Astyanax mexicanus: one gene and its partners. The protein of the gene in region 2 interacts with the protein of the main gene of each other region in a biochemical or structural test. Links are inferred from orthologs where the notes say so. Each region holds a gene or a part of one and is shown on either strand. Other genes may lie near its edges.

Evidence for each region. The genes of interacting proteins can lie anywhere in the genome.
Region 1: the proteins of ube2na (region 2) and hltf form a complex in vitro, tested with the Homo sapiens proteins (2 studies listed by BioGRID, with this or other methods). The link is inferred for Astyanax mexicanus from reciprocal best matches to the Homo sapiens genes UBE2N and HLTF.
Region 3: the proteins of ube2na (region 2) and rnf4 form a complex in vitro, tested with the Homo sapiens proteins (2 studies listed by BioGRID, with this or other methods). The link is inferred for Astyanax mexicanus from reciprocal best matches to the Homo sapiens genes UBE2N and RNF4.

Annotation. Positions count from the first base shown.
Region 1 is NC_064425.1:42,845,134-42,853,398, forward strand, and holds the start of hltf (helicase-like transcription factor), read right to left. Parts: upstream 3,396-8,265; 5' UTR 3,264-3,395; intron 1,822-3,263; 5' UTR 1,815-1,821; coding exon 1,635-1,814; intron 1,202-1,634; coding exon 1,035-1,201; intron 547-1,034; coding exon 416-546; intron 1-415. Other genes in the region: slc35g2a (solute carrier family 35 member G2a), read right to left, coding at 6,028-7,087, 7,563-7,765. UniProt on the Homo sapiens protein: Has both helicase and E3 ubiquitin ligase activities. Possesses intrinsic ATP-dependent nucleosome-remodeling activity; This activity may be required for transcriptional activation or repression of specific target promoters.
Region 2 is NC_064416.1:21,041,635-21,049,904, reverse strand, and holds the start of ube2na (ubiquitin-conjugating enzyme E2Na), read right to left. Parts: upstream 3,042-8,270; 5' UTR 2,915-3,041; coding exon 2,885-2,914; intron 1-2,884. Other genes in the region: c1qtnf13 (complement C1q tumor necrosis factor-related protein 4), read left to right, coding at 5,346-5,373, 7,990-8,270. UniProt on the Homo sapiens protein: The UBE2V1-UBE2N and UBE2V2-UBE2N heterodimers catalyze the synthesis of non-canonical 'Lys-63'-linked polyubiquitin chains. This type of polyubiquitination does not lead to protein degradation by the proteasome.
Region 3 is NC_064417.1:19,060,863-19,068,189, forward strand, and holds the start of rnf4 (RING finger protein 4), read right to left. Parts: upstream 3,396-7,327; 5' UTR 3,381-3,395; coding exon 3,258-3,380; intron 2,640-3,257; coding exon 2,528-2,639; intron 2,365-2,527; coding exon 2,288-2,364; intron 2,123-2,287; coding exon 2,110-2,122; intron 1,916-2,109; coding exon 1,792-1,915; intron 430-1,791; coding exon 378-429; intron 258-377; coding exon 108-257; 3' UTR 1-107. UniProt on the Homo sapiens protein: E3 ubiquitin-protein ligase which binds polysumoylated chains covalently attached to proteins and mediates 'Lys-6'-, 'Lys-11'-, 'Lys-48'- and 'Lys-63'-linked polyubiquitination of those substrates and their subsequent targeting to the proteasome for degradation.

The DNA of each region.
Region 1 (8,265 bases), on a different chromosome or scaffold from region 2:
CAAGCAAACGATGAGTCATACTTTGTAAGTTATTCAGCTAATGAATATGTTTGCGGTGTTTTTATTGTTTTATTGTTTGTTCATGTGAACTTTGTCCGTAGTTAGCTAACCTAGCTTTATGCACCGCTAGCTGCGTTAGCCTAAGGTTGACATAAGGCATGGTGCTAATAGGCTCATGTTTGTTTATCTGTGTGTGTGTGTGCATCTGCACATCTGTGCGTAAAATGGGTGCAACTTAATTATAGCTGAATGCAGCATTCATTAGAAGTCTAGAACAAACATTTAGACATATAGTGCAGCTTAAATATATTAATAGAGCCTACAGGTGGTAAATCCAGGTACGGAAGTTAAAAATCTGTCCCAGATGTTTTCCAGATTTCTATCTAATAGAGGAGCTGAGGTGGGCTGAGCTTACCTTTCACAGCGTTGAGTTTGTATCCGTGATTTTTCATCTGAGAGTGTACCGCCTCCTGGTTCTCCTCTCTACCCCAGAATGTTAGGGTTACAGTCATGGTGAATGAATTTGTCTTTCCATAAGGAACCACCCTGAGAAAACAACAGCAGAGCTGAGAACCACAGCTTTATGCCCTCATTATTAAACTGAACCTTAACTTCTCAACAAAAGCATGTGCAGCATGAATAAGCACTTTCTCTTCTCTCTTACTTTCTCTGTCTGTTAATTATTTTTATTTATTTTATTTTTATTTATTTATTTAGGCAAACAAAAAAGGCAACAGGTTGACTTGACGCACTTGTCAGTCAATGCAATCAAATACTCACAGATACTCTGTTTTACTAAAATCTAATAGAAAGCCTTCTCTGGACAGTAAAGACAGTTCCTCCAACAAAAGCAAGATAAACTCTTTTTAAACCCTTGATTTCACAAGAAACCGTGAATGAACACTTTTTTCAATACTTTTCCCCATATTTTGCAATGTGTTTAATCCCCACAAGGGGATGCTTTCTTGCTGAAGATGCTTATAAATGGGTCAGTACCGTGTAGCAGAATGGCAATGATCTAAACAATGTCCTACCCTTCCACTCGGGCCAGATTACGGTCCATTATGAAGGCCAGCGCCGCTGCCAGCTCCTTTTTTATGTGTCCCACCTGACTGCCATACACGTTAGCCACCATCACCGCGTTCCGATCGTACGGGTTCTGCGGTTGCCTCACCAGAGCCACCATCTCACCTCTATTCACCTGCAGAACAGAAGTTATGAATCAAGCATACCCACCTACTCTACAGAACTGGAGCTATAAATATAATATAGCTTACAAACAATAGCAGCTCATACCACAGTTAGCGCTGTAGCTAAAAATAAGCTAATATAGTAAATATTTTAGGCTATGGAAGCTAATGCGCCAACAATTAGCACTGGAGCTAACTGCATGTCCAAATAAAGAGATGTTCAGTAATCTCTAATAGACTTGATTATGTATCTATAAACATGGCTTTGCTAAACCAAAATAAATAATAACAATACAATTAACTTTAAAGTATTGCTTTGAAGTGAAACAATACAAAGTAATAATGATTAAAAAATATATATGTTAACTATTATTATTATTATTATTATTATTATTTGTTTATTATATATTTTTTTTTTATCAGTGTACGTATGATGGCTCATACCGTTCCGGTGTAGTACCTCAGACCCACTATGGTTCCCTGAAAGGTTCCAAAGCACCGGTTCTCCTCCTCCGCGTCCTGATCATGGGTGGACTCAGAGGTGGAGCTGCTCTGGGAGGGCTCCTCCTCCTGCAGATCAGAGTGAGACACACCCCCAAACCTCCTACTCCCCAAACCACGCATGCTGGAGCTGAGAACACAACACAGAACCCACACAAACAAAACATAAAGATGCTGACAATGCACAAAACCCACACTACTCAAGGTTTTAAAGAGTGCCATAGTGGCTGCCCTTCTTTGAGGAAAATAAAAAGTGATTCAGTGCTTGCTATGGTGCACCATGCAATATTATGCAATTATTATGATGTGCCTCTAGTTCAATAAATGGTAATAATGTGTTTTATGCCATCACTGTGTCACATACACATACCATTATTAAACTATTTGTCAACAACTATTTTGAACCCTGGCCAGCACAGAAACACACACACACACCCTATATGAATTTAGCGCACAACTGAAAAATTATTTATTCATTGCTGTTGCCAACTATTATTGTAGTAGTGCACAGATAGTTTATTAAAAACACTGTTTATACACACAGTGTAATCAGCTCTCCCTCCTGTCCGCCCCTAAACCCATACATCACCCAGTGCCCCTCCCAAACTACTCCTCCCATTTTTTGAGCCCTTTTATGGGAATTACATAGTAAACAAAAAGTATTTGTCCTCCACATTAATCCCCTGATCTAAACCTGATGAACTAAGATGAACTGAGATGGTGATTTGAGGTGATTTGGGATGAGCTGAAGCTTCACAGCATGAAGGAAAAGCAGAAACTATTGTTCAGCACATCCAGGAACTCCTTCCTTCAAGAAACTGAGAAAGCTATTCCAAGTGACTCTTTCTCATGAAGACACTGAGATTAAAATACTAAAAGTGTGCAGATCTGTCCTCAAAGATAAATGTGCAACTTATTTAGAAGAATCTAAAGTATAAAACATATTCTGTTTTGTTTAACAATTTTTTATTTACAGAAAAAGTCTGAATATTATCCAGTATAGCTTTAATATAGTCTTTAATTGTTAAATGTACAATGTAAAAAAAACAAAAAAAAACAAAAAGAAAACACATTAATTGAGAAGAGGTGTGTCAAAACTTTTGTAATACTGGTTCTGTATATGTACAGTATATATCGTTTTATTCTAATTTTATAGCTGGCAGTTTACAGTTGCAGTGTAAAAAAAAGACATTTAAATGATAATAATAGTTTATTAGCTAGATTAACGTTAATTGTGGGGAGCACCTTTCTCTTAACAACATTGACCTGCTGTTAGTGTAGTTTCAGAGCTCCAGCCATTTAAAACATTTAAATAAACTTTTATTCAATGTTAGAGTTTTAACAATAAGCGACTTTAATAACACTAATGTTAAATTATAAGTTATAAGTTAGTTTTTAAGTTTGTTTTTTCTTTGTCAACATAAAAAGATGTATGTTAAGTTAGCTAATGCGACCAAAACATTACCCTCACGTTTATTTAACGTTCTCTTGTGTCAGGATGCTACACTCACGCGCACGGGCGCTGTATTTACTAAGTAACTAGAACAGGTGTACGCGTGCCCGCGCACTCACCTGTCCGGCAGGTTTACCTGCAGCTCGGCCGGGTCGCTCCGGACTCCGATTACCGTTGGTTACTTCTGGTTCCTGTTGTCAGGTTTTTAGCGCGCGCGGAGTTGCTCTGCAGTTGATCTGCAGCGGGGCGCGCGCTGTGTGGTGGTGCGAGTGTGTGAGCGCGTGCAGCGCCCCCTGCTGGTCGGAGCGGCGGTGCATTTAGAGTGTGTTAGTGCACCAGAGGGCTCCCCCCTCACTGACTACAAAACGAATAGGTTTAAATGGGGCAATTAAAAAGCCAATAAACCCTAAACCATATTGTTTTCCATTAATAGTTGAAATGTGTTCATTTGAAAAAAAAATGAAACATACCAGTCCTGCTTAAAAAAAAATTAAAACATTTTCTTACCTTTAAACAACGCTTTTATTACGGTCATTTTCGCTTCTGAATCGCCCCCTCAGGTTCAACTGTGCTATAGGCGTGGATGATGATTCCATGTATTTTGGTATGCAGACACATCACAATAGGCAAATTAATGAATCAATATTACCGCCCCCCCTGCTGACGTCCAACCATCTGCGTCTCACCGCCATCAGAAGTGCAGCTCAGCAAATCAGCTCCTCCTCCTGCCCAGCCTCTAAACCCATACATCACCCAGTGCCTCTCCCAAACTTTGCCCATTTTTTGTCCTTTTTTAAATCAGAGGTTTAGTGCCCCTTTAAGTTTATGAATGTTTAATCCTTTTTACACTTAAAACTTTACTCATTTCCTTAACACAGAACAAGTAGGTTTTATCATTGTAGACATAATTTTAAAAGCTTTTAAACTCCAGTTATAAAACTTTTAAACTCACCAACCAGTCAGCAGATATATATAAAACACTAGAGACCCTGATTTAAATAAAAGTAAAATGAATTAAGCTGCACACTTAAGTGGGAGTACTAAAGTATTTAACATTTAACAAACCGTGTGCCAGTGTGCCAGTGTAGATCATCTTCTACTCTGGCTTCAGTGAAAATGTGGGTTTGGAATGATTCCTAACATTTTTATAATTGTAACGAGTAACAATGCAGCACTCAGTGGGCATCCTCTAGGGTTAATTTTAGTGGTCACTGTTTTTTTCTTCTAATTTTGTACTCTGTAATTTTGTTTTAAATAGGAAATCTCCACATTTCTGAATGTCTGTCTAAAATTCAGAATGTTTTATAGAGACAGTTGAAAATGTAGCACACAGGAACTGATGTAACTTTAATTTTAACTTTAACTTTTAATTTAATTTAATTTTCTTTAATTTAATCAAACACAAATATATAGAATATTATTTTATTATTGTTTTATTCTTAAAATAACAAACACACATACACTTTAGCAACAACCACCAGCAGGGGGCGCCCTCACCCCACTGCACACACACTGCCACCACCTGTGCTGGAGTTCTGAATGGGTTCTGGACCAGGAGGCGGAGTTTCTGATAGATCACCTGTTTATTCTGTACAATTAAGATTTCTCAATGACACTTAGTGGTTAATGATCATGAACAAGTAAACAAGGGTCACTGACGGGTCAGCGGAACAGTGGGTCAGGTGATTGAGATCTGAACACTTTTTTTACAGAGTTTCAAAAAAACTATTCAGAACAATTAATACAACTGAAATCAATAATCAATAAACAATCATCAAATAAAGTAATTAGGATTCATTTAAAATTGAATTACACAAAACACTAGATAAACACAATGGTACACAAACTACCACTAAACTACACCGACTACCCCCCCACCCCACCCCACACCCCCCCACACCCTCCATAAACCCTACTAGAGCTGGATCGGATTACCCTTAATCAGACATTTCATCCAGTATGAATCTGCTGTGTGCAATTATACTACTAACTGTAATGTAATTTTAATCCAGTATTTATTCTTTCGATTTTAATCCATTTAATCCTGCAGTGTGTAGTTATAATGCAAATAATAGTAATAATCATAAACTGACTTTAATCCAGTATGAATCTTTGGTGTGAATTTTTACTACTAACTGTAAACCAATTTCGATCCTTTATGAATCTGCAGTGCTTATTCTTTCAGTTATAAATGAAAACTCATTTTAATTCCATATGAATCTGCAGTGTGAAGTTTCAGTAAAATTCTAAACCAATTTTAATCCAGTATGAATCAGAAGTGTGTAGTTTCAGCAATACTTGTAAACTAATTTTAATTCAGTACGAATTCTGACAATAACTGTAATCTGTTATTAATCTAGTATGATTCAGCAGTGTGTAGTTTAAGTAATAACTGTAAACTGATTTAAATCTAGTATGAATATGTTGAGTGTAGTTTACCTGTTAAAAACAGATTTAATCCAGTATAAATCTGTAGTGTAGTTTAACTATGGAAAACTTATTTAATCCAGTATGAATCTGTAGTGTAGTTTAACTATGTAAAACTGATTCAATCCAGTATGAATCTGTAGTGTAGTTTAACTACGGAAAACTGATTTTATCCAGTATGAAGCTTCAGTGTGTAGTTTACCTATGACAAAAAAAATAATTCAGTATGAATCTGTAGTGTGCAGTTAACCAACAGAAAACTGATTTATTTAGTATAAATCTGTAGTGTAGTTTAACTATAGAAAATTAAATTAATCCAGTATGAATCTGTAGTGTGTAGTTTGTACAATCCGACACTAATAACCCGGTATGAATCTAATCCAGCTCTAATTGGGCTTTGGTCTTTAGTTTACAACTTGGCATTTAGACAAAGTGAAAATAAATAATTGAACTCAATTATTTAATTGGCGAATCGAGGATCTCCTCGTACTCCTGCCTCCGACTCTTCCCCACCCAGAACAGCTTCACTGCCGCCAGCGCAACAACGCTTATGATGATGACGAGGCCTCCGACCATGTCGTAGACGGACGGCACCATGTGCAGGACAAGCAGCTGCAGCAGAGCGGCCACCACAATCTCCAGGTGCTGGACGGTGCTGACCAGAGCAGGGTGCAGGCGGTTCAGGGCGTAGTACACCCCGAGGAACGCCACGGTGGAGCAGAGACAGATGCTGATGAGGTACGCCCAGGTCTCCCCATCCAGAGGGATGATGGGCTCCTGCAGGACGAACATGGTGCAGGCGCCCCACAGCGTCCCCGTCCAGCCGAAAGTGAACAGAGCCGTCCACATGCTCACCTTCTCCTTAATTGACCTGTAGACGATCATAGACAGAGCGGCGGTCAGGCCTGCCATGACCGTCATGGTGTACCCGAACGCCTCCTTCCAGAACCCGAGCGACCGGTCCTCGCTCACGATGTTGGGCACCATGACCAGGCAGAGTCCGAACACGCTGCTGACCACGGTGACCATGTCCACTGCACCCAGACGCTCATCCGTGAGCAGGAACGCTAGCACGGCACTGAACACCGTGGTGGTGGCACGCCACATGATGGTGCCGTTGCTCGGCGGTACGATGGCAAAGGAGGTGTAGGCGCAGGAAATGGAAATGACGTTACACACGCCGTAGAAGAAGAGCCGCACCCGGTAGCCACTGGGCCCGAACGGCTCCTCCTGGTGGTAGAAGACCACGGCGACGGACAGCACCTGCAGGACCGAGCGGATGAAGAGCAGCTCCAGCGAGGGAACCCTAGAGCGGTCAGCGGCCAGGCGGGTCAGCAGTGCCACGCAGCCGTGCGCCAACGCCGCCACGAACAGTGCCCCCCACGTTAGCCTCGAGGAGAACACACACGCCTCCCCGAAACTCTGCAGCTGACCTCCGACCCCACTGCTGACCTTCTGATCCCCACCGGGTTTGGGCTGACCGTCCACAGAGCCAAAAAACGTCCGGCCCAGTTTACTGTGGATAAAAGTAACAATAATAACTATATTAACAACAATAATAACAATAACCATAATAACAGTAATAATGACAGCAATAATAGTAATAATATTATTAGTAACAGCAGTAACAACAACGTTAATAGTAATTCTACTAATAGTAATAACAATAGTGATACAATAATACAAACTACAATAAAAGCAGTCCAATTTGCAATTTAACAATACATTAATGTATCCAAACTTATGATAACTATTAAGTTAACAATAAATTATATCATATATGTAAAATTAGCTCCACCCCTATAACCTATAACGGTTAAAAACTGTTGTACCTGTGTAGTTATCTGATAAAAGCAGTAGTTACTGACTATATTGGCAATAATAAAAGCTATGGTGTAAAACTGTGCTGTCGTGAACCAAAGAAACAGTGTTTCAGTTTACCACACAGTAATTAAACTCCACCCCAGTTTGTGGGCGTGGCGTGTACACACCTCTGAGGTCCAGTAGAGGTCAGCCTCTTCCGGTCGGAGGTCTCTTCTACAAAGGAGCCGAAATCTTCGAAGCTCGGGGCGTCATCGTATCCCTCTTCTCCAGGCTGCGGGAAGTGGGTGGCATATTTCACCGTCACCGTGTTGGGGTGGATCTTCACCTTCTTCTTCGGGCCGAGCAGGTGTTTACTCGGAGAGTCGTCCATGTCTCTTCCTCCGGCTCTGAGAGCTGAGAGAACACACAGAACCGAACAGAACCATCAGAACCTTATCACTGTCTATATATCTACAAGTATTCAGACATGTAGAAAGCACTAGAGGCTTTCTAGACTTGAGTAAAGTACTATATCAAAAAAGTGACTCTTTTAGTGTCCTATCCTATTAATATATCAATCTTATATCCTAATATATATATAAGTGCACCAGAGAAAAGGGCGTGTCTAAGACATACAGTTGCATTATGTCAGAAGAAAGTGTGCAGGGTAGGAGGCGTGGCCAAAGCAAATAGTTTTAGCATATTAAAATACGGTAGGCGTGATGGTGGGCGTGATTTAGGGAAATCAGCACCATATCACTATAAAGTGGGTGGGGAAAGAGGCTGGGATTTTCTCATATTGTCCATCATCTCAGAATAAAGCACTCAGAAAAGGGGGCGTGGCTAAGGTATAAAATTGCATTGTGTCAGAACAAAGTACCCCAAGTGAGA
Region 2 (8,270 bases):
CATGATTCTGATTTGCAAAAGTCAGCTAGAGCAACCAGATTTTATAAAAAAAAACATGCCGTATGAAACTTATGAAGAAAACATGTAGTCATTTACTGGCCAATACATATTTGGTAGCGCATAAGACTACTTTACATTAAATAGTTGTCATGCTTATTTCCCTGTTGTATTAAGATAGAATTTTCGAACATTTTTTCTGTTACCATATATCTGCAGGTATTGGAAATTATTTGCAGCCTGAGCATCAAGGTCTACAAACACTGAAAACACACTTGCATAGGTCATGTTTTATGTAAGACGACAATCAAAAATATTTAAAAAAATGGGAAAGCTTATTTTATGCTACATAAGTATTAAATAAACAAAATAATAAAATCACAACTTTTAGTCTGGCCTATTAAACTTGAAAAAAATGGCATCCAGCTCCTGTAGCTCATTTGCATGCATCATAGTCAGACGACAATAATTTCTGCATTACGTTCATCAATCTATGCACACTAGTAGAGTTTTAACCTGCATGATTACAGGTCAAAATGTGATGCAAAATATTTTAAGGGTACAGTGTAAATGCCCTTGATAAATCGGTGTCATCACACAAATTCAACATAACCTCATCTGCATTAATTACTAAAGATAACGCAAAAAAAGAGACAGATATCACTATCATACAGCCGCACTGCTCATCCCCACAACACTGATGAATAAATGAATTTGGTGGTTGGCAGGTTCCTGTTCCTTTATTCAAAATACCCTCAAGAGAGGAAAATTCCTGAAATATTTCAGATAGTCCATGGACAAAACCATGCAGAGAAAACACAGACAAGAGAGGGGCTCCCAATCCCAGTCTCACGCTTAAGGTCTTCATGTTCCCAGCCCTCCCACACCCACACCAACAGACCACAATACTGGTGATGCTCAGTGCATACACAATATCCAATTACTGCTACAAGAGCATGGGGACTGAACAAAGAGCATACAATAAAATAAGAGGAACATGCAGATAGCAAAGTAGATATTTTTAATTAACAGACACTTTAGGATTTTTTTTGTGACCTGTTTGCCATGACTTAAAACATAAAACTCATGTGTCAGGACACTATTTAAGACTAAGTCAATTCACTTGACTGTTGTTGGTACTTTAATCCATTACATTTTAATTAATTTCATTTTCATATTGTTCATACACGTCACACTGCAGATTGTACGATGCATCTGCTTATACTGTTGACAGCGAAATCACACAATCATACTTGCCCTTTAGACAATCTGCAACTCTTTTTTAGCTTTTACCTATGCAAAAATGTTATAATATCACGGTTTTTATTTTGTAACTGTGTGTAACTGCGCCATTTCTGTAGTTATCAGGGTCTATTGCAATATTTGAACTGCCTCTGTAATAAGGCTAACAAAGTGATACTAGCTATTTAACTAGCTTATCAGTCTAATCATCCAGTTAACCTTCATGCATAAAATGTGTTGCATCTGTTCTGAAGCGTGATATCATTGTGTTATTTTTGAAGTTATGTTAAAAAAAATCAGATAGATCAGATTATGAGAAAACCTGTTTTGGAGGCTTGTGGAAATGAAGGTGCGGCACAGGAACATCAGGCCTGCTGACACTGAGCTAGCAGCTCATGGGTGTAAGGACCAGGCCAACACTAGCATCAGGACACGCCTTTATACCAATACAGACTTATTGATTATATTATAGCATTAAAAACATTAAGAATAAATGTGGAGCGGTGTTGAGCTGGTGGTGATCTTTCTCTCCAAGAGACAAATCTGAAACGAGGCACCCCATCTGACGGGTTTTTATAAACCAGCCATTAGAGGCTTGTCTGCAGAGGCTCGTAGAGCGGTCAATAGCCACGAGCTCGATCTGAATATTAATGTAATATTTCACTTAGTTAGCTACCTATAGCTTAGCTAATTAATCTAATGCTGTGGTGATTCTCAACTTGCTGTTAGCTACTGAAATAACGAAGGCGCTGTGCTTTTATATTCGCTCAGACATAACTAGCTAGCTAGTTAGCTTGGCTAGCTAGCTACATTACAAGGCACCTACAATGACATTCGGCTACTTTTAGTTTCGAGCTAGCGTTAGGTTAGCTAAGCTAGCTAAGGCCTAGCGCGGAAAAAGCTGCATAGCTACTAAAACTGGCTAGCTAGCTGACTATGCTAAGATAAGCTAAGCTAGGTCTACAGAGCGGGCGGTACACGAAGCGGGGTTTAACTACTAGCGATTACTTTCATTTAAGAGGCCGTGGCTCATTTACTGTGTGTTCATATGCGACCTTATTGCACATTAAAGCACCCTTGTGCTAAGATTATTAACTCTAAGTTATCAAACTAAGATTATGATTAGCTAACTAAGTATATTACTGCCCTGTTAGCCACACAGCTAGCGTTAGCTAGGCTTCAATCGATGAATGGCAGCAGTCAGTTAGCTAACCTATCTTAGATAGCTAATGCTAACTTAGCCAGTTAGCTAGCTAGCTAGCCTGACCGTCAGTTTTAAGTTAGCAAGCTACCTTGCTTATTCGCTCTCTCAAACCCCGGTAATCTGCTCGCTACCGTCGCGTTTAGCTGATATTTTAAACGTTTATGCACACGAGACGAGCCTCCGCCATTTTCGCTGCTCCCAGCCCGCCGTGCGTGTATTTTTAACCCACCCATATTCGGGTGAAGCGGAGAGGTGAACGGAAGTGTCTGGCTAACAAACACTAGCAGCAGGCGCAAACAACGCCAGCCAGCCCAGCCGCCCGCCTGCTCGCTCTCAGCCGCACCGCGTTGCGCTGCGCCCCGCGGCCGTGTCGGACTCGCCCGGCTTCCCGATTCAAGAAGCAGGAACGAGCTACTCGCAGAAAATCCGCCTCACAGTTACCTTGATGATCCTGCGGGGCAATCCTGCCATCTTGTCTTGAATGCGGGTTTTTTAGCTTCGTCTCTCGGTGCCTCTTCCTCTCAGAGACGCAGTGAACACGCCCCCCAGCGCTGCGTCACTCTCCAGCACTCCGCCGCCGCCGCACACCCGGCTCACCCTGGAACATGTAGTTTTACCCACCCGCTCAGTCCAGCGCCATTTGACTCCTTCATTCCGCCTGAAAACACGCACACGTTTCAGTCCTGCAGAGACCAGCACGCATTTAACGACGTCTCAGCGTCAAACAGTCAATTACAGTCTGTACTATTGTTTAAGGCTTTAGTCACTTTATATATAATGGAGAGAGCACAAGACCCATCCAATAAAAGTAAAAAAAATACAGTAGCATGAAAAAAGAATTCTGACCCCCCCCCCTTTTGTTTTTGCCTTTTTGTCATTCTGATATGTTTCTGATTATCAAACAAATCAGACATAGATAAACTGAGTAAATATAAAAAGGCAATTTTAAATGATAATTTTATTTATTAAATGTCTTATTCCATCGTTTTTAGTTCATTTTAAAATGTCTATTATGAGTGAAAGCCATGTGAGCCGTTTAAAAAAAACTAAAAAAAACTAAAAAAAAACGGAGCGCTCTAGTGTTTCTGTTTAACTGAACTAAGTTGGTCTCTAAACAAAGACAGGATTTCGGCTCTTGCTCATGAATATTCACACATGCAAACATATAGCTTCTGATTAGCTAACAGCACTGCAGCAGAAATCGCCTACCTGCCTTACCCTCACAAAGATAGATTGCCAGGTAAAGTTAACCCTTAAACTTCGGCTAACCTCAGACTCTCAGCGTAGGCCACATAGGCGAGCAGCCCCGCGGCCAAAAGAAACGCTATCAAGAGCGGAGGCTGCCCATCACCCATCACCAACCAGCACACCCCACCAATGCCCAAGCATCTCTAAGCCCCCCACACCACACCACACCCCAACCCCCCCCCCCCCCCCCTCCCCCAGTAGAAACAGTTTCTTCAACAATCCTGCTAAAACATTCAGCTCAAGACCAGCTGGGCATTCAGATAAAAACATACCCTATGCTGGCAGACTAGCTTAAAAATAGCTCTTGACATCCCCTTCTACAATACTTGGAAAGTAGCAAAAAAAATGGAAATGTGACATAATCGGCAGGGAGGGTGTGTTTATTGTTTGTGAGATATTACATATTTGTGTTGAATACATTTATACTCCTGCTTAATAAACAAATGTTAAAAGAAAAAAGTAACTCCTGACTAACACAGAATATGTCTTTTTTTCTGGATGACCAGCTGTTCTTGAGCTGGAATTTTGGCATAAAAAAAAAAGAAAAAGCAGATATCTCATTACTTTAGTCCATATAAAGTTTTTTTATTTTTATAAAATAAAATATTTTTTTACTGAAAACCACACTGTAAACTAGTTTTAATTTAGCTGTTCATATTGCTATACTTTATTAATCCCAGGGAGATTTGCCCGCAACTTTTTCCTCCTCATTTTTTAAAGTGAAATAATACACAAAGAGGACAAAACAATTAGGATTACACATATGGCCCAGCCCATTCCCTACCCCATACTCTAATCACTCAATACATCTCAAAGTCTGTCCATTTGCAGGAATTTCTATATTGCTAAATTAGTTCTCATTTCTAACTCTTCTATGTTGCTATGGCTACTAATGATGCAATTAACAACTGAATAACATCCACTTCCACAATCAATTCTAAATGTTCTATGTTGCTGTGGCTGTTTATTACCTAATCAGCAACTCAATTAGCATTCTTCCAATTTATTTTATAGTTATAACTAACATTTTAAATTACATGATTGTGTACAGCAGTTTAAATTGTTTCAGACATGTAACAGACATGATGAGAATCTGTTAAAGTAAAATCTTTTTAGATTGATTTCCTCTGAAAGTTAAATGTTGTTATTCCTTTTCCCGTAAAGATGTTAACTCGGCACAGATGTGTATAATTCTATATTGAGGAACTTTTGGAATGTGTCACCAGATCAAAATCAAATCATGTTACAGTCCGGGTCAAATGAGGAAACGTCATGAAGTACTCAGCTGATGTAACAAAGTTAAACATGTTTTTTTAAAGGTGGCCTGAGATCTGCATGACCTCAGAACAAAAAATGAGCATAGAGTCTTCTAAACTCTTATAATTTTCTATTTTTTTTTATTTGTGGTTCAAAAGTGAGAGACTGAGGTAGTGCTGTGTGTGTGTGTGTGTGTGTGTGTGTGTGTGTGAGTGTGTGTGCGTGTGTGTGTGTGTGTGAGTGAGTGAATGAAAGAGAAATCTTTTGGAGGGAGGGGGCACTGGATCTTGGATGAGCTGGTCCTGCGCAGGAGGATTAAAATAGTTGGTTATCAGTGCTGTGGCTGCTGAGTGTTGGAAAGGCTCGCAGGAGGAGAGGAACACAGCTGGTGAGAGACATGAACTCTCTGCAACTGCCTAGAACAGGTATGTAGAACAGGAATCACCACTTCTGCTGCTGCTGCTGCTGCTAAAAAAAGGAAATAATAGGTAGAACAACAGATTCAAATCAGCGTGTTAACTTGTATTTTGTCACCTTAGATGAAAAAGTGTCGAACAGTTGAGTAATCAGACGTTCTAGGCCACAGTTAGTTCATGCAATGCTTTTGCTTTTTGGGTTTATTGCTGAGAACACGGTCAACTGATGCAGAGAAAAACTTTCTGAATAGAAAATGTTGACTGAGAAGACCTAATGCAAACATTATAATAGCAGTTTCTCATAAAGAACTGATTTAACAATACTGAACAAACAAAAGAGGACAAAAACGTGAAACATAATTAATATAAATACAAATTATTTATGTTGTAAAAGGTATTACACCCCACATTTTTTTTAAATAGCTAGAATGACTATAATGGTTAGAACAAGACTAGAGGGGAGCCTGTCATATTTAAACCCCATAAACATATTGAATTTAATTTGTTGGTTCTTGACTAGTGTGTTGATGTGAGTAGTATCACCATTACCAGATCCAAAGAGCTCTCTGAGACATTCAGATAGAGGGTTGTAGGTACATTTGAGTCTGGAAAGGTATTTGTTTATGTGTGTATTTTCTCAAAATGTATTTACAACAAATCAACACATTAACCCATAAAACCATTGGCTTATTACTTGTTAATTACTTGTTACTTGTACATTACTTATTACTTGTTAATCTTCATGCAAAAGCTATGAAATATGTGATTTTAATTTTCTGATGGTATCATAACTCCTTGTGGAGTCACACCAGTTTCTATTTCAGGGTTTATAAAACTGAAATTCAAGTTGTTTGATACAGAAACTAAAGAACAGTGAGCTACATAATCTATACGATTATATTGAACTAATTTATTGGATATTATATCCAGATTGCACATCACATAAGTCTCTCTGATGTACATTGATGTAATTACATTTAGTTATTTTATATTTAGCATCATAATCTGATGCACATTTTAATTTCATGAATAAATCATCAGCATTGCGTAATGACTTTGTCACTATTGCACTTAGATTTATTTGTTCAGGTCAGTCTGGTCTTACACTCCAACCACAATCTATACAATTCATTACAATTCATCACTCCTTTTCCATAAACCGACCCTCAGAACATCTTCTTCTGACCTTCATGTATTACTTTCAAACAGGATCTTTACTTATCAGCAAAGGGAGGGAAAAAATGCTATCTCATGGCCCACATCATCCTCTCCCAAATATGCCATTGTTCCAGGACACAGGAGCAGATGAACCAGGGCCTAATCTATAGCCTTCTGCCTGTGCACAGAGTGAACAGACAATACCAGCTGAATTAGAGGCGTTACTGCTTTGACTGAGCACTTGATATGAAAGGCAGAATGTAGTCTGACAAGGCTAAACCAGACTTCCTAACCCGTCCGAATGGCATTTCAACCACTTCAGTGCTTCGCCAGTAGATGGAGGTTAAGGCCCTTGAGATCCTGTTTTTCCACCTTTAAATATGCATAAAAAGTAAACTCATTAGTTTACATTGGAGCAGTGTTTATATGGAGTCAAATGAGGGTGATAAATAATCGAGCATCTGCAGTTGTATATTACCTTTTATGTGCATGTGCATTTGCAGCTGTGTATGCGTGAAATAGTTTTGTGCAGGTGTGTAAAAGATTTTGTTGATGCAGAATTTTTTTGCGAGTGTAATTAAAATATTTGGCATATTTTAAACAGTGAGTTGAATGTGTTACTGATTAGTACAACAAGCCACTGCAGTGTTGTGTTTGATTATAGAATGTTTGTGTCTATGTCTTATATTTGTCTTTTTACACATAATGATATAATATCTGGGTGCGCAAACTTTTTTCACACTTGCTTAAAAAATTTCTACAGGTATAAATAATTTTGTGTAGACATTCCTGCTCTTACATTCTACAAACTAACATGTTAGGATGCTTGGTTATTGTTTTTTAGTCAATGCAATATGACTACAGAGACATTTTAGAAAGTTTGAATGCATTGCTGTGTATTGGAAAGCCAATAAAACAATTTTTAATAATTATACTACTGCATTTATGATGTAGAGTCTGAACGGAGTAAATACACAAATTGTAAATATGAATTTCATAATTTGTTTTATAAATTTGCACCACCTTCAGATGTTTTGTGTACACAATTTAATAAATCACTACAGCTTATCTTAATTAATTATCTTAATAATAAATGAATTAATGATTTTTTTTTTCATAAATGTAAAAAAGTAAATTTTTTACATTTTGTTTTTCTTAACATTTTTACTTGATTTGAACATGGATTTTTTTTTCTCTACATTGTCTTCAAACTCTAGGATAAATTAACTCTTGACTTCTATTAAAGATTTGTTTTTTTATCTTTGTTTTTGTTATGATTTGCAGCCCTGTATTCAAAGAAATATATTGTCTCAGTTGCATTTTTATTTATTGTCCATGTATATTAATGATTGAAATATGAATGTATAAATAAAATATTGACAACACTTTTAATTATAAATTAATGACACAAAACACAAATTTAAAATATCTGCTTAACTGTCTTCACCCACTGTGTCCTATTCCCAGGTGTGACCTTCTGGAGCTCTTCCAGAAGTGTGTTCTGTCTTACAGTTCTGTTCGCCTGCCTGACCATCGCCACCCCTTTCCATAGCCCTCCCATGATGCCCGGCTCAGGTTCGGCCTTCTCCGCCACGCGCAGCAGCAGCGTGCTGGGTGGCTCTCAGCGAGCCGTAACCTTCGACCGCCTTCTGGTCAACGTGGGCAGCGACTTTAATCCGGACACAGGCCGCTTCCGCTGCCGGGTCCCGGGTGCGTACTACTTCAGCTTCACTGTAGGTAAATACCCA
Region 3 (7,327 bases), on a different chromosome or scaffold from region 2:
GCTTAATGATCTTTCAGTAAATAATTTGGCAGAGACATACAAACCGGTTTTGAAAGTGCACTGCTCAGGTCACACTGGTCAGTTAAAGTACATCTTATTGTGACATGTCAGATGTATATTGGGTGATATTGCTTGTGTGTGAGCTTTTTCCTGCATGTGGGACAGGAATGAGCTCTGGCCAGGGAGTCACGAATGCACTGGCTGCAGAAGAGGTGTCCGCACTTGGTGGAGACCATGAGCCGGCCGCTCTCGATGATCTGGGGAAAGGCGGTGAAGAGTTCAGTGCATGGAGAAAGACTACACAAGGCGTGTGTATCTACACAAAATCCACAGTGACTATATAACGCTTTAGATACAGATTTGTATCTCAGTTTTACCTCAGCATAGGCATCCATGCATACAGGGCAGCTAACAGCTCCTGGTGTTGACCTGTGAATAAGAACCCACACCATCAGTGGTGACACAGTTGGGGTTTACAGTTTCACCTTTTTTACACAGCATCAAGTTTCAAAGTATGCTAAAATAAATGTGGTAAAAAAACAAACAAACACAATCTCAATTTGTGCTGCTTATTTGGACATAATTTGAATCTAGAAGACAGTCAATATTTCAGCATGAACGACCAACAGACATTCTCCAGAATTACTTTAATTAATTTAGCAATATTTACTTTCACTAATAGTTTTGTGAAAGTAATATGAAAGTAGCCATAATCTTTCAACTGCATTTTTTTGTGTGTGTGTGTATATATATATATATATATGCAGTTGAAAGATTATGGCTACTTTCACATTATAAAAGCAACGGATGTGTAAAAACAGAAAGACTAATGAATTTCAATTGTACTGTTCACATTCAGGTTGCATGTCCATGGACTGGCTTCATATCCAATTTATGACCACATACAAAAGTGACTCAAACCAGATTTAGCACATTCACACAGCCATAAAAAAAAAATCAGATCTCAGCTACATTGAGCAAAAAAAATCTGATTTGAGTCACTTCAGCCTGGTAATGTAAACGTAGCCCTAGATGGTAAGATCAGGTTTGATCAGAAACAAAGGCACCATACTCTTTTCATAATCTTTTTTTATTTGGCATGCATAAATAATTTTCACATATATACACACTGCAAGCTCGCACTTCAAAATAATAGTATTGCTAAGATATATAGAATTTATAAGGCTTTTTAGAAAATTTTAAAAATACGAAAATACTGGACAACAAACTTTAAAAAGCAGCAGTACAGGACCTGTTTCAATTAATACTAGATGAACAGGTGTCTGTTGGACGTAATGTAATTCTATATGAGCTCCACTGAGCATATAGCTCACTGCAGTTCCATAATTACAGACTGTAGTTCTTCTAAATCTCTGTACCTTTATCCTCCTTTAAGCCGGTTCTTTAATGATCATGACCCCACTGGACTGAGAATATTCCACCAGTTAGAAATATCCAGCCAACAGCATACTATGTGCTTTGTTGAAGGACTAGAGAGTGAGACACAATGGGTGCAGCAAGATTCAGAGCTTCTGTCTCTGACTTCACATCTACAAGGTGGACCAACTACATCCACTTATTCCTACATTCCACAGACAAACACCACCACCATCACCATCCCATGGGGTCCTTATCATTGAGCAACAGGTTGAAATTAGACTAACAAATCAAAGAGTATGCATAGAAACAGAGGATCTACAGTCTCTAGTTACAAACTACAAAGTGCTCCTATATGGTAAGATGATCATGATTAAGGCATCAGCAGTACGCTGAACGCTGTGTAAGGTTTACCTGGCTGTGCTGCTTGCTCGAAGTGATGACAGTACAGCTGGATTGAGGTTTAGACTTGGCTCTTCGTCCTCATCGCTGCTTAAGACGTAACTCTCTGTGCCTTGTCCACGTCTGCTATGCGTGCCTTAGAGAATCAAATAAATTACACATGTATACTTACTCTAAATAAAAATATGCCACATTCCACGTCTTTCATAAACCAGAGACTTTAAACAAGCTGAAATGTACATTCACTGATCTAAAAGTTACATCAGTATTCCAATACTACAACTAACTAACATTGTGAACCATTAAAAACATGAAAAGGGAATTAATTACCTTCTTCCACAAGCTGATTTCCACAAGGCAATAAAAGAAGAAATAAAAGAGAAAAAGCAAAATAAAAATCATGACAAAATATCCAACACACAACAAAGTCTTTGAGGGAAGGGGCCTTCATTCATTTTATTAAAAGCAATAATATTGGACTAAGAATAATGTTGAGCTAAGAACTCACCACAACAGAATCATTATTAGTGAGGTCCACAACAGCTGGCTCAGATGCTTCACAGGTTAAGTCTACTACCTCTTCACCTTTTTATAAGAGTAAAAGAGGAGAACAGAGAAGAAAAGAAAACAAGACTGGTTAAAAAGAAAAGTGAACTCTCACAATACAACTAATGCTGAATTTGACTCTTCTTCTGAAAAAGGGTGCCAAGGAAGTTATGTAGTGATTTAACAACACTGATTAACTTACTGCTCAGTCTGTCACTTTCTAACACATCGATAGTTTCCATGACCGTCTGAGTCCTAGTCCTTTTGTTGTTGCGTCTTGAACATGAAGAAGTTGACCGTCTTTTTCTTTGAGCCTGTGAGAAGATTTAGGGTACGTTCAGCAGTGTTTCCACCCCCTACAAATTAACAGACTATGCAAGTGGCTAATTAGCTAACAGCTTCAACAGGTGTTGGGTGAACATAGTGTGCAGGGAGAGGCTGGTTTATGACCAGGAGCTGGATTCACAAAAGGACCTTACATGTTTTTTCCCCATAAACTTCATACCTAATAAAAAGGTAAACAAATAAAATAAAATAAAATAAATCTTCCTATGAACATTCCAGGAACATGTGGTTTTCTTAAGAAAACATATATTGAACTTTACTGTAGCTTTATATTTGTCTTGGATTTTAAGAGTTCAGAAGCCTCAAAACAGTCATGTTTTTTTATATTTAGTTAAGCTACCAGAATTAGTCCAATTTAACAAGTGTAGCTTATTCTTCACATTTTTTATGCTTAGTTTAAATTTTGCTTTTCCTTCATTTGGCTCTCCTCTGCAAGGATTTAACTGAGTAAGAAAAAACCTCACATTGTTTTATATATAAAACACAAAATCCAATTTTCCATTTTTTTTTAACTTAGTTTTTGGTTTAGCTTAATGATCATATGTTTTTTGGCAAATCTGGCACCAAAATTGGAAAGAGAGACATACACAGACAGACCTCAAGACCTCGATGTTTGAATCAGCATTTCTTAACTGTGTTTCTGTTGACACAAAGCTGTGCATATTCCTACACGTCCAGCTCACCACAGACTCCTGCTGCTTAGAAGCCATCAGGCCATCAACCCTTTCCTGTACCAACCCAAAGCCCAGCAGAGTTCCAACATTCCCGCCCCAACACAGCTGAATCAGATTGAGAAATCTCAATTAGCTAATGAGCTAGGTCAGCTGTGCTACGACAGGTAGTAATAAAACTGTGGTGTGTTGTGGGTCACAAGAATAACTTCTAGGCATGAGGCCTGTGTTGAGCTGGACATCTAGATGTATAGAAGGCCAACAATGACAAAAATTCATCTTTTTATTTTTTTTTTAACATTACAGTGGTATAGAGCCTGTAACATATGAAACGTGTTTATATTGTAGACCAGTGTTCTTCAATCCTAATCATGACGTAGAAGATTGTCTGCCTTAACACACTCCCTGCCATACTGAAAGGGCTTGTTAAGAAGCTGAAATTTGATTTGTAGCATATCTAGTTAGTATCCAGATGGATTTTTGATAATTTGTCCAGAAACCACAAAACTTTTGAGTTTCAGAAAGCAGATCCAAATGACATTTGGAAGTGGTTAAAAAAAATATTTTACCATCTGTCTTTTGCATTACTCACCAAACGATAACCATCAAGAAGAGTTTCTTACCATAGAAAGCCATGCAGATAAATTTGTAATGTTAAGACAGGTCAATATGCTCACTTGCAAATAGCAGTGTGAAATCATCTCAAAAGATCTGATTTGAGAAACCAATCTGATTTGACTGCATCAGCCCAAGTGCATTGGATCTGAACTCTTCAGTGTGATGGATCTCCAGAAGCAGAACTGAGCAACACTAATCTAGGACTATAATAAAACTGACACTTATAGTATATAGTTGACACGGTTCTACAGTTAGTAAGAATTAATCTTTATAATTAGTAGAAAAGTTAAGATCAAAAGAACTTACCACGCTACTCATGTTGTGGTTTGTGGCTGGGTCAGTCTCTGAAGGCGTCACGTTGGATGGAATAGGTACATTGATAGTCGCTACACTGAGCAAGTTCCCCACGGTTTCCAATAAACCTAGGGTGTAAACACCAGCTGTGGGGGAAAAACAGACTGGTTAAGCTAAATGTTAAAGCCACTGGTTTTAGCACAGACATGGTTAATGCTGCCTTCAAGTCCAACTTTGAAGTTTGTACGTAAGTATGATGTGATTACTGTTTACATGGTTTCAGATGGAAAAAACAGACCATGGGGGGAAAATAGGTGTGTTAGGGCAACAAACTGTAATATGTATGTGATTAACAAAAAGACAGCAGTAGTTGTTAAGTCAGTTGTTAACTGTTGTCAATGATTTGTTTTTACTGACAAGACCCCAACCCCTGAAAATCAGGGCTCGAAAGACACCAGCAAGACAACTTTTAATTCAGTTTCTATTAGTAAAAACCTAATATCAGATATCAGCTGTGGACTATAGGCTAATCACTTTATTAGATCTTCAGATCATTCTGACTAGTCAGATTACGGTTATAGTTTTAGACATTAAATATGTTATTGCTAGCCAAACTCAAACTGTAGTTTAGTTCACAAATTGTACCTATTCTTTATGTAAATATCCACTAGTCAAAACTTTTTAGTAGAGATTTTAATCTTGAATAAGAATTTGTACTAGTCAAAATTAATTTCTGAATATATGGACCTGGACATTTTACTATAGTCAGATTTGCCTTTTCAAAAAAAAAAAAAAAAAAAAAACTTTTGCAATGTTACAAGATTTATTTAAATCCAGTGTTGCATTAATTTTTCATCAAGTTTTTGCATTAATGACGGTAGAGTCTAACCGCTGCACAAAGCCTTCTCCAGCACATCCCTAAGATTCTCAATGAGCTTAAGATCTGAACTCTATGGTGAAAATGATCTCATGCTCCCTGAACCAGGTATAATTCAGTATATTCAGGTAGTCAGCTGACCTCATTCTTTCAGCACATACTGTTGCTGAACCTAGACCTGACCAACTGCAGCAACCCCAGATCATTTGTTTAGTTAAATGAAGGTGGAGACTTTCTTTGGTCAGGCAGTGTATGTGAAATTTACTAATACAAATAATCATGGCTATCTGTAACTGGAGTATGTATATAAGGTTAGACAGTGATCATTAATTACAAGGTTTCCATAGCAAGTTAGCAAATTGGTGTTTAGTAACACCAGTAATACAAGGCCTAGCTAACTGTTTAGCGTTCGCTAGAAAACACAAAATAATAGATATTAAATGCTTGTTACTAGTAAATCATTCTGACTCGTCACAACACCATATCATAAACATCAATTATACCATTATTGCTAGTCAAAACTCAAATTGTAGCTAGGCATCTATACTTACTACTTATTTATAAACATGTGGACCTGGATTTTATACTATAGTCAGACTTACAGTGTAACTTAAGCTAAATTATATATTAGGGGTGGGCGATATGGCTCTAAAATAATATCAGGATATTTCAGGGTATTTTTGTGATAAGGATATACTTGGCGATATAGGAAAACAGAAAAATAATTAATTAATTTCAGGAATATAGTATAATAGTATAACAGAATAATCATAATGTGGCAAAATAAATAATAGCATAAAATAATATAATGCAGCAAAAAAAAAATATATATATATATATATGGAAATTTCTACTAGTATAAATATCTGGAACTACCAGTTTTCACTAGATAAACCATAATTTTAGATAGGAACGTGACTGACTCAAACAGGTCAGAAAAAAACGAATCAGAAATCATTTGTTCTTTAGTTAGCATAGCTCATTTTTAGCTAGTTAGGTTAGCTTACTAGCTTTACAGCTTAGTCAGTGGATCTGGGTGCATCAGATGTACTCAATCTTCTATTTTGACAATAACGGCACTAAACGATCTGTAGCTAACATACTACTGAGCCACAACACAGAACCGAGCTCTGAACAGTTTATCAGTAAAACGCTTCTAGCAAACCACACGCCATATTTCACACGCACTTCAGAAAGCTAGAGCTGGCTAAATCTGGCGAGTACAATAATACCAAGCTAAGAGCGCTACCGATAAACAGTTCACCAGCCCGCCTCTCCCCTCCCCTCCCAGTCTCTCTCCTCTCAGCTCCCGCTCCAGCACTGCTGCTTATCTACAGTACAGCGCGGTTCGGTTTTTAAACACGGTTTCGGGTAAATAAACGGGTTGTCTACATACTCTGGTAATCTGAGCAGAAAAATCAGTCCAGCTTCAGTTTCAAACCACCGGAAAATACAACCCAGCGTACAGTCACTGAAGCGCCCACAGCGCCGCCCGCTGGCCGGGGGGTTTACCCCGAGCTCTTACTATCAAAAGTATCGTTTCAGACAGTACCCACATAAAGAGTGAACCTGAATAATTTGTCTTTTTTTTTTCATTATAACTTTGCAAATGTGAAGCAACCCATACGATGGAAGGCCACTCCCACCACATAAAAAGTCCAGCTTGTATTATTTTTTCTCATTACTATCTAAAAAATAATGCTAGCATCTCAAAATAATAATTTAGTACCTCAAAATAATGAGCTAGCATTTAAAGATAATTATTTAGTACCTCAAACTAATAATAACATCTCAAAACAACGACTTAGCATGTCCAAATAATGAGAGAGCATCTGAAAATAACGATTTGATACCTCAAAACAATGAGCTTGAATCTTAAAATAAAGACTTAGTAAGTCCAAATAATGAGCTAGCATCTCAAAATAATCACGTAGTACCTCAAATTATGAACCATCATCTTAAAATGATTTAGTATCTGAAAATGATTTAGCATCTTCAAGTAATTTGGCATTTCCAAATAATAATTTAGCACCTCAGAATAAGAAGTAATGTATAAAATGATATTGCATAATAAAATATTACAAAACATACAATCTATAGGTTCAACTTAGTGCTGTATTTATGCACATAATCTCTGTGGAAATAACATGATGGCTGATGAGTTTGTTTGATTAAAAATGCACAAGTAAAGTTCATA